2 linked regions of the Schizosaccharomyces pombe genome follow. The protein of the gene in region 1 interacts with the protein of each later gene in a pairwise test. Each region holds a gene or a part of one and is shown on either strand. Other genes may lie near its edges.

What was found.
Region 2: the proteins of sfc9 (region 1) and sfc6 interact in a two-hybrid assay, tested with the Schizosaccharomyces pombe proteins (one study listed by BioGRID).

The regions. Positions count from the first base shown.
Region 1 is NC_003423.3:1,371,519-1,377,829, forward strand, and holds sfc9 (transcription factor TFIIIC complex subunit Sfc9), read right to left. Parts: upstream 3,449-6,311; 5' UTR 3,418-3,448; coding exon 3,310-3,417; exon of another isoform or gene 3,263-3,309; coding exon 3,166-3,262; exon of another isoform or gene 3,126-3,165; intron 3,108-3,125; coding exon 3,020-3,107; intron 2,880-3,019; exon of another isoform or gene 2,821-2,879; coding exon 1,092-2,820; 3' UTR 970-1,091; downstream 1-969. Other genes in the region: isoleucine--tRNA(Ile) ligase Irs1, read left to right, coding at 1-834; U2 snRNP-associated protein Msl1, read right to left, coding at 3,795-3,902, 3,976-4,203; ribosomal protein arginine N-methyltransferase Rmt3, read right to left, coding at 4,823-6,216, 6,296-6,311.
Region 2 is NC_003423.3:2,259,449-2,264,996, reverse strand, and holds sfc6 (transcription factor TFIIIC subunit Sfc6), read right to left. Parts: upstream 2,813-5,548; 5' UTR 2,784-2,812; coding exon 1,841-2,783; exon of another isoform or gene 1,799-1,840; coding exon 1,682-1,798; intron 1,639-1,681; coding exon 1,435-1,638; intron 1,388-1,434; coding exon 903-1,387; 3' UTR 833-902; downstream 1-832. Other genes in the region: hikeshi family nuclear import carrier Opi10, read left to right, coding at 124-695; ATP-dependent RNA helicase Dbp7, read right to left, coding at 4,054-5,548. UniProt on the Schizosaccharomyces pombe protein: TFIIIC mediates tRNA and 5S RNA gene activation by binding to intragenic promoter elements.

The DNA.
Region 1 (6,311 bases):
AAAAATGAAATTTCACTTCGTTCAGTTCATTTCCTTCCTTTCCCTACTTACAAGTCTGAGCTTGATGATGAAACTGTTTTACGCCGTGTTAAGCGTATGCAAACTATTATCGAATTGGCGCGTTATGTTCGTGAGCAGAATAATATTTCTTTGAAGACTCCCTTAAAAACCCTTATTGTTATTCTCACTAACGAAGAATACTTGGAAGATGCTAAGCTCTTAGAAAGATATATTGCAGAGGAGCTTAACGTCCGTGAAGTAGTTTTCACCTCCAATGAAGAGAAGTATGGAGTCGTATACAGCGTTCAAGCAGATTGGCCTGTTTTGGGTAAGAAGCTTCGCAAAGATATGGCTCGTGTTAAGAAGGCTCTACCAAATGTTACTTCTGAGGAAGTTAAAGAGTTTCAGAAGAACAAGAAAATGGTTTTGGATGGTATCGAACTTGTCGAGGGAGATTTACAAATTATTCGTTCTGTGGAGGTTAAGAACGAGTTTTTGAAATCGAACACTGATGGCATCTGTATTGTTTTATTAGATATAGAGATCGATGCTCAGTTGCAAGCTGAAGGTTTGGCTCGCGAAGTTATCAACCGTGTTCAACGTTTGCGCAAGAAGAGCAATTTACAAGTTACGGACGATGTTCGTATGACTTATAAAATAAAAAACGATACTATTGGTCTCGAATCTGCTGTAGATTCCAATGAAGCCTTATTTTCGAAGGTATTGAGAAGACCCATCGAAAAGGAAACTGGTGCTGACGAGTCAAACATAATTGCTTCCGAAGAACAAGACGTGCAAGGAGCTACCTTCCTTCTCAGTCTTCTTAGGCTATAGAAATAGTTCAACTTCAGCAGAAGTATTCTTTCTCAAAATTTGTAGTCTTAGGAATGTATCTCGACTCCTACGTTTTGTTTATTATTTTATAATATAATGGATTTTCCTATGTACTACTCCTGATTTATGTAGTGAGAAATATTTAAGAAGGGTTTTGATTGTCAAAAAAAATAATAAATATTATTTACACACGTAACAAAAGAAAATAATGTTTCACCGGATATGTTATAAAATATTTTTGATAAATGGATGGAATATTACGAAACCAAGAAATGTCCACCGCAATAGAAGCAAATAGAAAGCTCATTTTGAAGATCTGCAAGTAAGCATTTGGTTTGGCTAGGGTTAAAAATGGCCACTATACTGTTGCACACAGCACAATATTTCGCAGCTTTTTGAGATAAAAGTAGCATGGTGACTGAGCAACGTCTCCAGACGTGTCCATTATCACATGTAGCTAATGATGTATTATTGAATTGAACTGTAGCTTCACATGCTGGGCAAGTTTCACTAAAATCTGAGGAAACTTCCAAGCTTTTTGCTATCTCGTTCGCTACTTCCATTGCAATCGGTACCTCAGCCAACTCTTTATAAGTAAATGATACAAAGTTTCTTAAAACAGCTTTGCAATCACTAGTTAGATAAGAGGGGTCAAGAGATATCTGAGAAAGTGTATATAACATAATGTATAGGGTTAATCGGTATCTCAAAGAATTCAGTAAAGTAGCGTCTAATGCTTTTTGTTTATAAACGCTCCAACCATATAAAAGTCTCATTGCATTCAATGAAGAGTCTAAATACAAATTTGAAAGAGAGGATATATCTATAAGATGCTTTAGCTCAAGGAAAAAATCATAATCCGTAACTAAAAAACTTGATAAGGAATTTGTAAGCATTGTAAAAATATCCGTTTTTTCTTTTAATGTGTCATTCATTAAAGAAATTTCGAGTAAACAACCGGCTGAAGGTGCTACACATAGGTTATTAAGTGAAGAAGTAATCATGTGTGAAAAAACGGATTTTGAAAAAAGAGATGGAATGAAATTAAAATAACTTCGTTCAGCTGCTGTTACAACGTAAGTAAATGAGGCCGGGTACGATATACTAAAGTGGAGAGCAGCAGAGGATAAGTAAGGAGAAGGGCAAAAGCCATGGATTTTAAGGGTCTTTATTGAATCATCTGAAACAGAGCCATAATTTTGCAAGTGATTGTTCAAAAATTTTTCAAGCACATGTCTCTCTGGTGAGTCCAACATCGATATTGAATTATCCAACAAGGAAAAAGTCTCTAAAGTTCCAGAATGTGTCAAGATGTAAACATATATGGTATCAATGTCGTTATGACCAAACAACACTCCAGAAGGAGAGCAAAGGGACAAAAGATTATGGTTCAAAAAAGAGCAAAACTTCCCTAATGACTTGTCATACCGAAATGCAAATAAATGGCCAGGATAAACTAACGCAAGGTATTCAACATTGGCTAATGGAGATGACCAGGCTAGCAGAGGAGAAAACGGTCTATAGTCCAACGAGAAAGGTAGCTCTTGCATAGCGGTATCAAAAGTGTCAGAATGAGAGCTAATAGCTATTTTTAAAATTCGGATTTCTCCATTCCGAGAAGAACACGATAGCAAACAGGTAGCTGAATCCCCAACCACATTCCAGCTGGAGAATGATAACTGAACTACCCATGAGCAATTCAAATCAAAAGACTTGAAAAATGGGGTAGATGAATGTGACATAATAGAGAGATGGACATGACCCGACTCTGCACCAAGTGCAAACAAACACACGCCCCAAGGTGAAGATGAAGGAAGACTTACCAAAGGCGACCATGCAACGCTATGAATTCGGCAAAGTTCCAAAGGATCGGAAGGTAAGTGAGTACTCATTTGTGCCACGCAAGTCCATTTTTGATGGAGAACGCGACTAGATGAAGAAAAGAAATACACACGATGACGATTAGTTAAAACAGTTAACAATGGACTAGCTGATTAGCGTTCAAATAAAAAGTAGAATAGAGAAACAAAACCGAATAAGACTTTATTTTAGGCATTGAAACGATAAACAAACTTTAAAAAATGAAACAAATTTCATAAAAATAGAAATATTTACGCACAAAAACACAAACCGAGTGGAATGTTAAGTAAAGTCAAACTCAAGTCTTCTCTTTTTAAGAACATACTCGTAATTGTCTGCGAGACCTGTTGGCGACCAGACCACATAGCGGCTTATGACACTTGGAGTTAGATCTCCTAAACGAAGCTCATTAGCTGTAAAACACGTTAGCTTTTATACTCTCATAAGCATCAAAGGGCATTGGGAACATACGAGCAAGCATTTGGCAATTTGGTAGTTCATCTTCCACATCATCTAAATAGGCTAGCGCCTTCATAAACTTAGGCGTATTGGCTTCAGTTGAAGGTACCTGAAGGGAATTAGCTAGTCTCGAACACGTCAATTTGAGATATGTACCAAGATTTGGACTTTTTCTGAATCGCAAAAAGCCAATTTTCCATCGCAAGAACAAGTACAGCTATACAAGCTTGATGGAAGAAAATCCAATGCTACATCCTTTCCCATTGTAAGAAAGACGACGAGCGATGTTGAAGCCAGGTGAACAATTCCATCAAATGCGTTAAAGTTCAGTGCCTTGCGCAATGCTAGTTGAGAAAGACTTGCATGAAAAATCCACTAAAATAGCTGTAAACAAGATGATATTGGACTAGAATTTTGCTTCATCTTATAAAACTTAGCAACAATGCGATGGTGTTATCGGTCCGCTTTACTGTCTGCAAACACTGACACCTGAAACAACTAAAACCAACAGGTATATACAGTGAAGAACAAAAAGAGAGAAAAAGGAAAACCACTCTTTATAACTCTCTTGACTCCAACAGGATCCCGAAAAAAGTTACCCTATATAAAACGATAATTGTGAATTTTAGAAAATGTACAGTTTACTCAAGGTCAGCTTCATCACGTAGCCGTTTTAAAGGACCTCTGCTGTCATTTTCGGCGACGATTCTTTCAATAATCTTACTTTTCGAATGAGCGTATTGAATTTTCTTATTAAAGATGTTAGTCAATCGTTTTTGTTTTTTTATGGGGATTAATGAGAAAGCTCATTTCACAGCATACCATTTCCTTTCCGAAGAATATGAAATTTTTTAAGGCCTTCATCGCAATTGCAGCGGCAGAGGGATCAAAGAATACAACATGAGCTTGACCTCTCATCTTGGGAGTTTTCAACGCGACAATATCAACCACGGTCCCATAAGTGGAGAATAGCATATATAGTGCTGTTCTTAAATCATTTTTATTAATTTTATCATTCAAATTATTCACATAAAGTGTATTTTGATTCATTTTCGCCCTAGTTTGGTGTTTTGCAAATGCTGAACTCTTTACCTTATATTTTTACCTGCAAACACTGCGCGCTAACAATCGCTATGAGTTAACTTATTGAATGGATTGTTGAAAAGGCTCGTCTTAATTACATTAAAATGCTAAAGCTTTTACATTTTTAATTTATCTTTTAAGGCTATAAATATCCATATTTAATTTTCCGGAACGAAATATGTTTATTTGCAATTCTACGACCATTGAACGCTAGTCATCTGAATTATGATTCAAGTCACAATTATTTTTAGAGATCCCTTAAATATAATCAAATCGTAACAAAAAATCAACGATAATAATAGTTCACGTTAAAAATCTTTCCCAAGCATTGTGCAGTTGTTGATAGTTTAATCCTTATGTACTCAAATTTCCATATTTAAAAGATTGAAAAAATGTTATTTTTTAGTAGTATAGAAAATAGAGAATATTTTAAGACTAGATGATTTTTTCGATCCACCGTATTCCCACTCTGGGGAAATAATTTTACAGGAAATGCCTTAAAACCCCAGCAAGATTCCTAATCCAAAAACCTACAGCATAGTAACATTAATCAGTAATTCTATATTTTTAAGTAAAGACTTTGATCCTAATTCAACACGTAGCTTTGAGAGTCAGCTTTCCCATTTACATTCCAGTGAACCGAAATGTCCAAATCACGATTGTTTTTTTTATTTTTTGAAAAGGAAATAGTTCCTTCAACACGAGTGCCTTTTTGAAGGAAAGGACGATTACGTAGTAACAAAACGCATTGTTTCCAATGAGTAGGAGTGCCTTGAGGGCCTGTTGTAAATCCACAAGCTTCATCAATAGCTTCTGGAATAGGCTGTGTTCTCTTAGTCGTAAAATACGTATCAAACCATAAAGTGAAAGCACAAAGCGGTCCTTCGTTGTCTATAATTAGAGAGAAGGGGGAAGTAAAACTGACATCTTGAACTTTGCACGTATGCATATTAAACCTTGCAAAAACAACAGGCTTGGCGTTAACATAAGTTTGAGGAACGACTTGTACACTAACACCTTTATAAGAAGCATCCTTCATGCCATTCATTTTGAAACCATACACATCGCTCCAGAAATCAATAGGTTCTTCTAACAATTCAGTGTTTGTGGTAGCTGTAAGTACCAATCGTGTCTCGGACGGTGCCATAATTCCAGAAGGTGCAAGGAAGCGATCTCTGGCAACAAGGACGGAATCAATCATACTCTCAAACGTTAGAGCATAGCCCATCCATTCCGAAATAATGATATCTACCTTGCCAACCGGTAAACTGATATCTTCGATTTTTCCACGAATAAAAGTAATTTGATCAGCAAGACCATTTTCAAAAGCATTTGAGATAGCCATTTGAATGATATCGGAGTTGTCCACAGCATAAACCTTCTTGGCGCCAGCCTTTGCGCAAAACATGGATAAAATGCCAGTACCGCATCCTACATCCAAAACCGTTTTTCCAGCAAAAATATGCTTATTATGATAAACGAAGTCACGGTATCCCTCGGTCCGGACAGAATCGTTTAGCATAAGGAAATGAATATCATTTCCAGCGTAAGACTCGAAATAATAAGAATCGTTATCTGCTTTCTTTGGGGTAACTGATAGCTGATCTGTAGTCTGACTAGTCAATTCATTCATTTTATCTTTTCGAATTTCTTCAAGCTGAGAGATAAGAAGTTGATTTTGTAACTTTAATTTCTTTATTTCTGCATCTTTAGAAACATCTGCTGGATTCTCTACTTCAATTTCGAGAGTATTGTCGTCCTCAAAATCTGAATCGAGTTCATCGCCAAGCGAGAAGAGTACACTGTCGTCAGGGAGTACAGAAATCATGTATTCGTCGGACCGTAAAATGTCGGAAAGTTTGTCCAAATCTGGTGTTTTTCCTTCCTTGACTTGAGACCGAATGTAATTTACCAATTTAATGCAAGCATAGAAATCCAAATTATTCTGCTGCTTAACTTGATAAAAGTCAAAGTTGTGTGCTACAATAGAACCAAAGTTAGCCATGTATGAATATTAATAGATATACAAAATTTTTAAATTAAATAGAAAAACTCATACCTTCTTTACAATGACT
Region 2 (5,548 bases), 890 kb from region 1:
TGTCGCTTCTCTGGCACTTTCGCACAATTTTTACATTAAACGAAGTTTTTTCACGCTAGAAGTTCAAAAATAAAACTTAAATAAATGTTTTTATTATATACACATAACTAATACACAATCTAGTGCAAACGAATTTGCAACAAGTCGCCGATAATCAATTTGTCTTCCAACTAGACTCTGCGGAAAGCTTGAATCACATTGTGGTTTTTCTTTTGCCAAACTCTCCATTCCCAGTCGGAATGGGTGCTAAGGTTTACTTTCAATGGCCTGGAAAGCCTTTTCAATTTTTAGGTTATTTGACAAACGAAAAGCCTAGTGCAATTTTCCGTTTAAAAAACACCATACAAACTCTTTCGGAAAATGAAAATTGCGTTGGAATTACTGCCATGTTAGGTATTAGTGTAGAGCCTTTGACCAATTTCACAGAAACACCAGCTGTAAGCACTTCAGCATCGAATGTCATCGCCAAACCCTTACCTCCCGTAACTTCTGTTGCCCAAAAAATTTTAACCAACTTATATAATTTCCTAGCAAGCTTTGCGACATCTCAACTTCCTCCCAACTCCATTGGGTTAGGTGACCTGCGGCCCAATGATACATTCATACCACTTCGAGTTTTTCAGGATTGGCATGCAAAATTTTTAAACAAGTTATCAAATAATCCAAACTTTTTAGATTCTGAAGATCAGATTTGACATTTAGGTTGAATGCCGTTTTTGAACCTCATTTTTATTTCCTACGAAAATTACCGACATGGTACATAAAACCATATCTTAATGATGCAGAAAAAATAGAATAGAATACAATGTATGTGTTTTTCTCCAAAAAAAAGTGATGAAACACAAATGCTAGATCTTATTTATAAAAAATCGTATATATTGTATTAATAAAGGATAATTTTATCATCTTCTTTCAACGGCTGAGAGATCTTCAACTCGTAGGATTCCGCAAGCCATACCACTAGCTAACCAACCAGCATAACCTTTGTTTCCATTCCACTCGACTTTGTTCACTTGGATTTGCCATGGATAAATATACATGTCTAGCTTTTTGGCTTTGGGAAGCCTTGGACGAAAACCATCTAACATACGATATGAATCCTGTTTTTCGCTATATTCTAACTGGAATATTCTATGCACATTAGCTTTTTGTTTGTGAGAGAATCCCAAAAGACGGAATGGATTGACGATCGTAACTATTCCATCCGAAGCAGCACACGCTACAAAAGGATGGAACTTGCTGTTTGAGAGAGATATTATTGAGCCGTTTCTTTCATCTAATAACTGTGTCGAAGTGCCTCGTAAAGATTCGATGACCACAGATTGAGATTCGCTACAGGAGATAATCGACTGCAACATGTTGTTCCAAGTGATTGTGTAACAAATATCTGATATTAAGTTAGTTCGGAAGAAGCTATAATAATAATAATCGTACCTCGTTTATGAGAAAGCGGTCTATTATCAATTATGGGATCGCGAATATCAAATATTCGAGTATAACAATCAAATGCAGTGGTCAGAAAAAGCCACGGAAAGTCATCCAGGCACTGTACTACATTATGTATGTAAGAATCATGATATGGGATGTAAAAAAGGGGACATTCCTGGCTGCTCAAAATATCCCACAGAGCTAAATAACCTTATACTTAATTAGTAACAATAATTTAGTTTAACAGGCTTACCGTTAGAGCAGCCGACCAAAATTTGATGTATATCGCCATGTTCTGGGGAAACCCATGTGCAACAAGAAATAAGAGAATCATTAAATCCAAAAGTAAAGTCTGCTTGTTCGACGAATACTAGTTCATGTTAGGAGAATGAAAAAAAAAGATGTTTAATACCATGAAATTTTACTGGTGATCGAGGTACACGAAGAACGCGCAGCTTTCCATCGCTGCAGACAACTGCTAAAAACCCAAGAATGGAATCTTCAACCGAAATTGTGGGGCACCACTCTAGTTGAAGAACACTTCCCCAATCATGGTACAATATAAATTCCGACTTAAAATTGGTTTTGTTTTCTAGTTTCCAAAGTTGAATTTGATTCCGTCCAGAAGTTCGCATAAATACTGATTCAGTAGTTTCTGAAAATTTTAGCATCCCTCCTACAGCTAAAAACTGTGTTTCTTTATTTGTTGGTAACCATGAAACAGACGATAAAGGAATCCCTGTATTCACCACAAACCCCGATTTCTGTGGATTTTCCTTAAAAGGGTTTACCGGTTGACAGGGTTCAACTTGCTGTGGTGATTCAAAATGGAAACTTATGCTTAAATTTTTAACTTCAAACAAATAAAAAGGATTTTCGGAATATGATAATAACTGCTGTCCGTCGAGATTCAGAAGTGTTTGCAACTTGGAATCAGACGACGTCTGACCTTCAAAGGAAGATTGACCAGGAGCAGTCTCATAATATTTCCAAATTTCGATTAGCCTCCTTCCTTTATTTAAAGATTCAACGTGAGTCCCGTAAGAATTTATTAACTTCTCTTCTAAACCTTTTGAACTTTGCTTTTTAGCACTTCCACGAGTAGTACTAGAATTCTGACTCTTCGGTTCATTCCCAGCGCCTTTGGAAGATGAAGGTGTTAAAGGTTGACTTCTAATAGGTTTTGAGGGGGTTCGACGAGTAGTACTTACCCTTTTTCGGTTTCTTGACGGTGTTTCTATTTCTATGTCTTCTTCAGACATAACGTTCTCTAAAACAAAATCGCCGTCATCATCATTATCTTCATCGTTTTTATAAGAGCTTGGATTTTCGTATTCCTTAGATTTAGGGCCCATACGCGTCAATATTCATTAGGAATGGTGGTGAACTTCATCAAAGCAATATTGACCTAATCAAAACCTCGTTTGCAAGTGCTCAAAGAAAATATTTATTTCAAATAATTATTCCACTTTGAAAAAATTAATTTGTTAAAAAATCCCAATTCTTAATTTGTTGCTGTTCGTCTTGGTTCAGCTCAATCCTGCTTTAATTGTGAGTGTGAAACTTAGACTTAACTTCAAACATTTGTTGGTTAATACGAGTCCATGCAGAAACTTCATAAAGAATAAATTTTGCAAATAGTTAAATTTATTTTAAGTATTTAACACATTCAATGAAATTCGATTGCTCTTTTTACCAGCCTATCTCTCCTCATTTTTAGTTCTGTTAACACGATTTTGTCAAAGGAAGTATTTCGGTAATCGAAAAAAATATATATATAGTTATATTGAATCTACTAAACGTTATGTGAAATGTTAGCTCAATTTCACTGGTAAATATGCAACAAATTTCTTTCAATTACTACGGGTTTGCTGAGAGCATTATTCTGACACTATTAAAGGATTATAGGGAATAGTATGTGATGCTACTATTAAATAATTTAATCAGTAGTTCAAACTTAATATTAGGAACCTCCTATAGCAGTTTTTTCTTGATCAAATCTTTAAATTTTGATGCTTGGATTTCATTATTTTCTAATTGTTTGTTTAATTTTAAAAAGAATTATCGTTAGGTACAAACGTCTACGGCCATACCTAGGCGAAAACACCAGTTCCCGTCCGATCACTGCAGTTAAGCGTCTGAGGGCCTCGTTAGTACTATGGTTGGAGACAACATGGGAATCCGGGGTGCTGTAGGCTATTCCTAACTTTTTTATTTTTTGTCTTGAATCTTTTAATAATTTAAAATAGTAGCTCCACAACTGACATTACAAATATTATTTGGATAAGGGATAGTGAGTCCTTGAAATTGAGTTATCACATAACGCAATGGTGCAAGACTACTACATAAGCAGCAATAGTAATATTATGTGGTGTTTGATATATCTCAGCTGTTATACATAACCTGTATAGCAGATACAATTGCCAAGCATTACCATGGCACGCCATTCATAATTCCTCTCAATACTTGTTTAGAAATGATAACTTAACTTCTCCATAATCACTTGCAAGAGATTTTATCTTCGAAAGATTGTTATTGCGTTTAAAAGATCGAAATTAAATTATATAAATATATACAAATGCCAACCAAAAACCGTTTGAACCTTAAATTTTACACAAATAATGTTTATCCTATATTGTGTTCCGTTGAATAATGTTCCATTGCTTTTCTGTGCATCAAAGCAGCAATGTCTTTCGATGATTTACTTTTACCTTTATCAACCGAACCACCCTGCTTTCTTGGCTTTGAAGAATTTGCACCAGATATTTTGCCCGGCGCTTCTCGCAAAGCGAAGGACTTAGCAATATGTCCCAAATGAAGGTCACGCATGTTAAAAATACTTCTTTCTGATGAAAGATGTGTTGCATAAGCCCTCACATAAGAAGTAAAAGCCCTTTTTGCAATATTCCTCATAGGTTCATTTTCTAATATAAAACGCTCCAATTCCAACTGCCATTCTGTTGCACGATCTTGCCAATCATTGGTGTTTGTTTTACCTTGCGAAAAACCAGCACTCAACAACCCAGATGGACCATTAGGCTGCTCCAATATATTAGCGCTAACTGAAGACTTTAACAAATTAATATATTCACTTTCCTTCGGGAGTAAAAACATAATAGCTGCACCATTGTGTCCAGCCCTAGCTGTTCTGCCAATTCTATGCAAATAATCGTCGGTACTAAACGGAGCATCATACTGCACAACCAAATCAACATTTGGCAGATCAAGACCACGGGCTGCCACATCTGTACACAAAAGTATATGTGAACCAGAATCTTCACTTGAAGAAAAAAGATTCAGCGTCGAAGTCCTGATTTGTTGAGACAAGGAACCGTGTAATCGGTATACATTTGATTTGCCATCTATTCTCAGAGCTGGAGCATTTGAAATGATATCACCCTCAGAGTCCGGTTTCTCTTTCACGGCCTCTTCCATTTCATCAGCGTTTATCGCACATCTAAAAGCTTCAAAGTGAAAATCAACACTATCTGAACAAGAAAGAAAAATTATTATTTTCTTATATGATCTAACATGACTTCGCAATAGGGCAACCAAGCTTACAAGCCTCAGTTTTGGAGGAACAACAACATATCTTTGAAGAAGCTGCTCGGGTGCCTGGCTATAACCGTCATTGGTTTCCTCCACAATAGATGATTTTAAGTACAAAGCATCTTTTAAAGCGGAATCACTTAAACGCTTTACGGTATCTTTCATTGTAGCGGAGCAAAGCATTGTAACCTTACGAGAAGGAATACTGAGATCCTTCTTAATAATACTGCTTTGTGATTCCAAATAAGATAAAATTTTAGTCAAAGTTTCTTCAAACCCCATATCCATCAACCTATCACCTTCATCCAAAACGACCCATCGTACTTGACTAACATCCAGTGCTTCCGTATTTTCTAAATGATCCGCCAAACGACCAGGCGTTCCAATTAAAATATTAACACCCTTTCGTATGCGAGCCTTTTCACTTTTTTTCTTCTCACCACCTATCACATTACAGGAGACAATCCAGTGTGATAACGGATTATTGTTGAGCTTGTTAGCAACGTTATAAATTTGTTGGCATAACTCCCGGGTTGGAGCCATAATCACAGCATATATACCGCTAGTACGG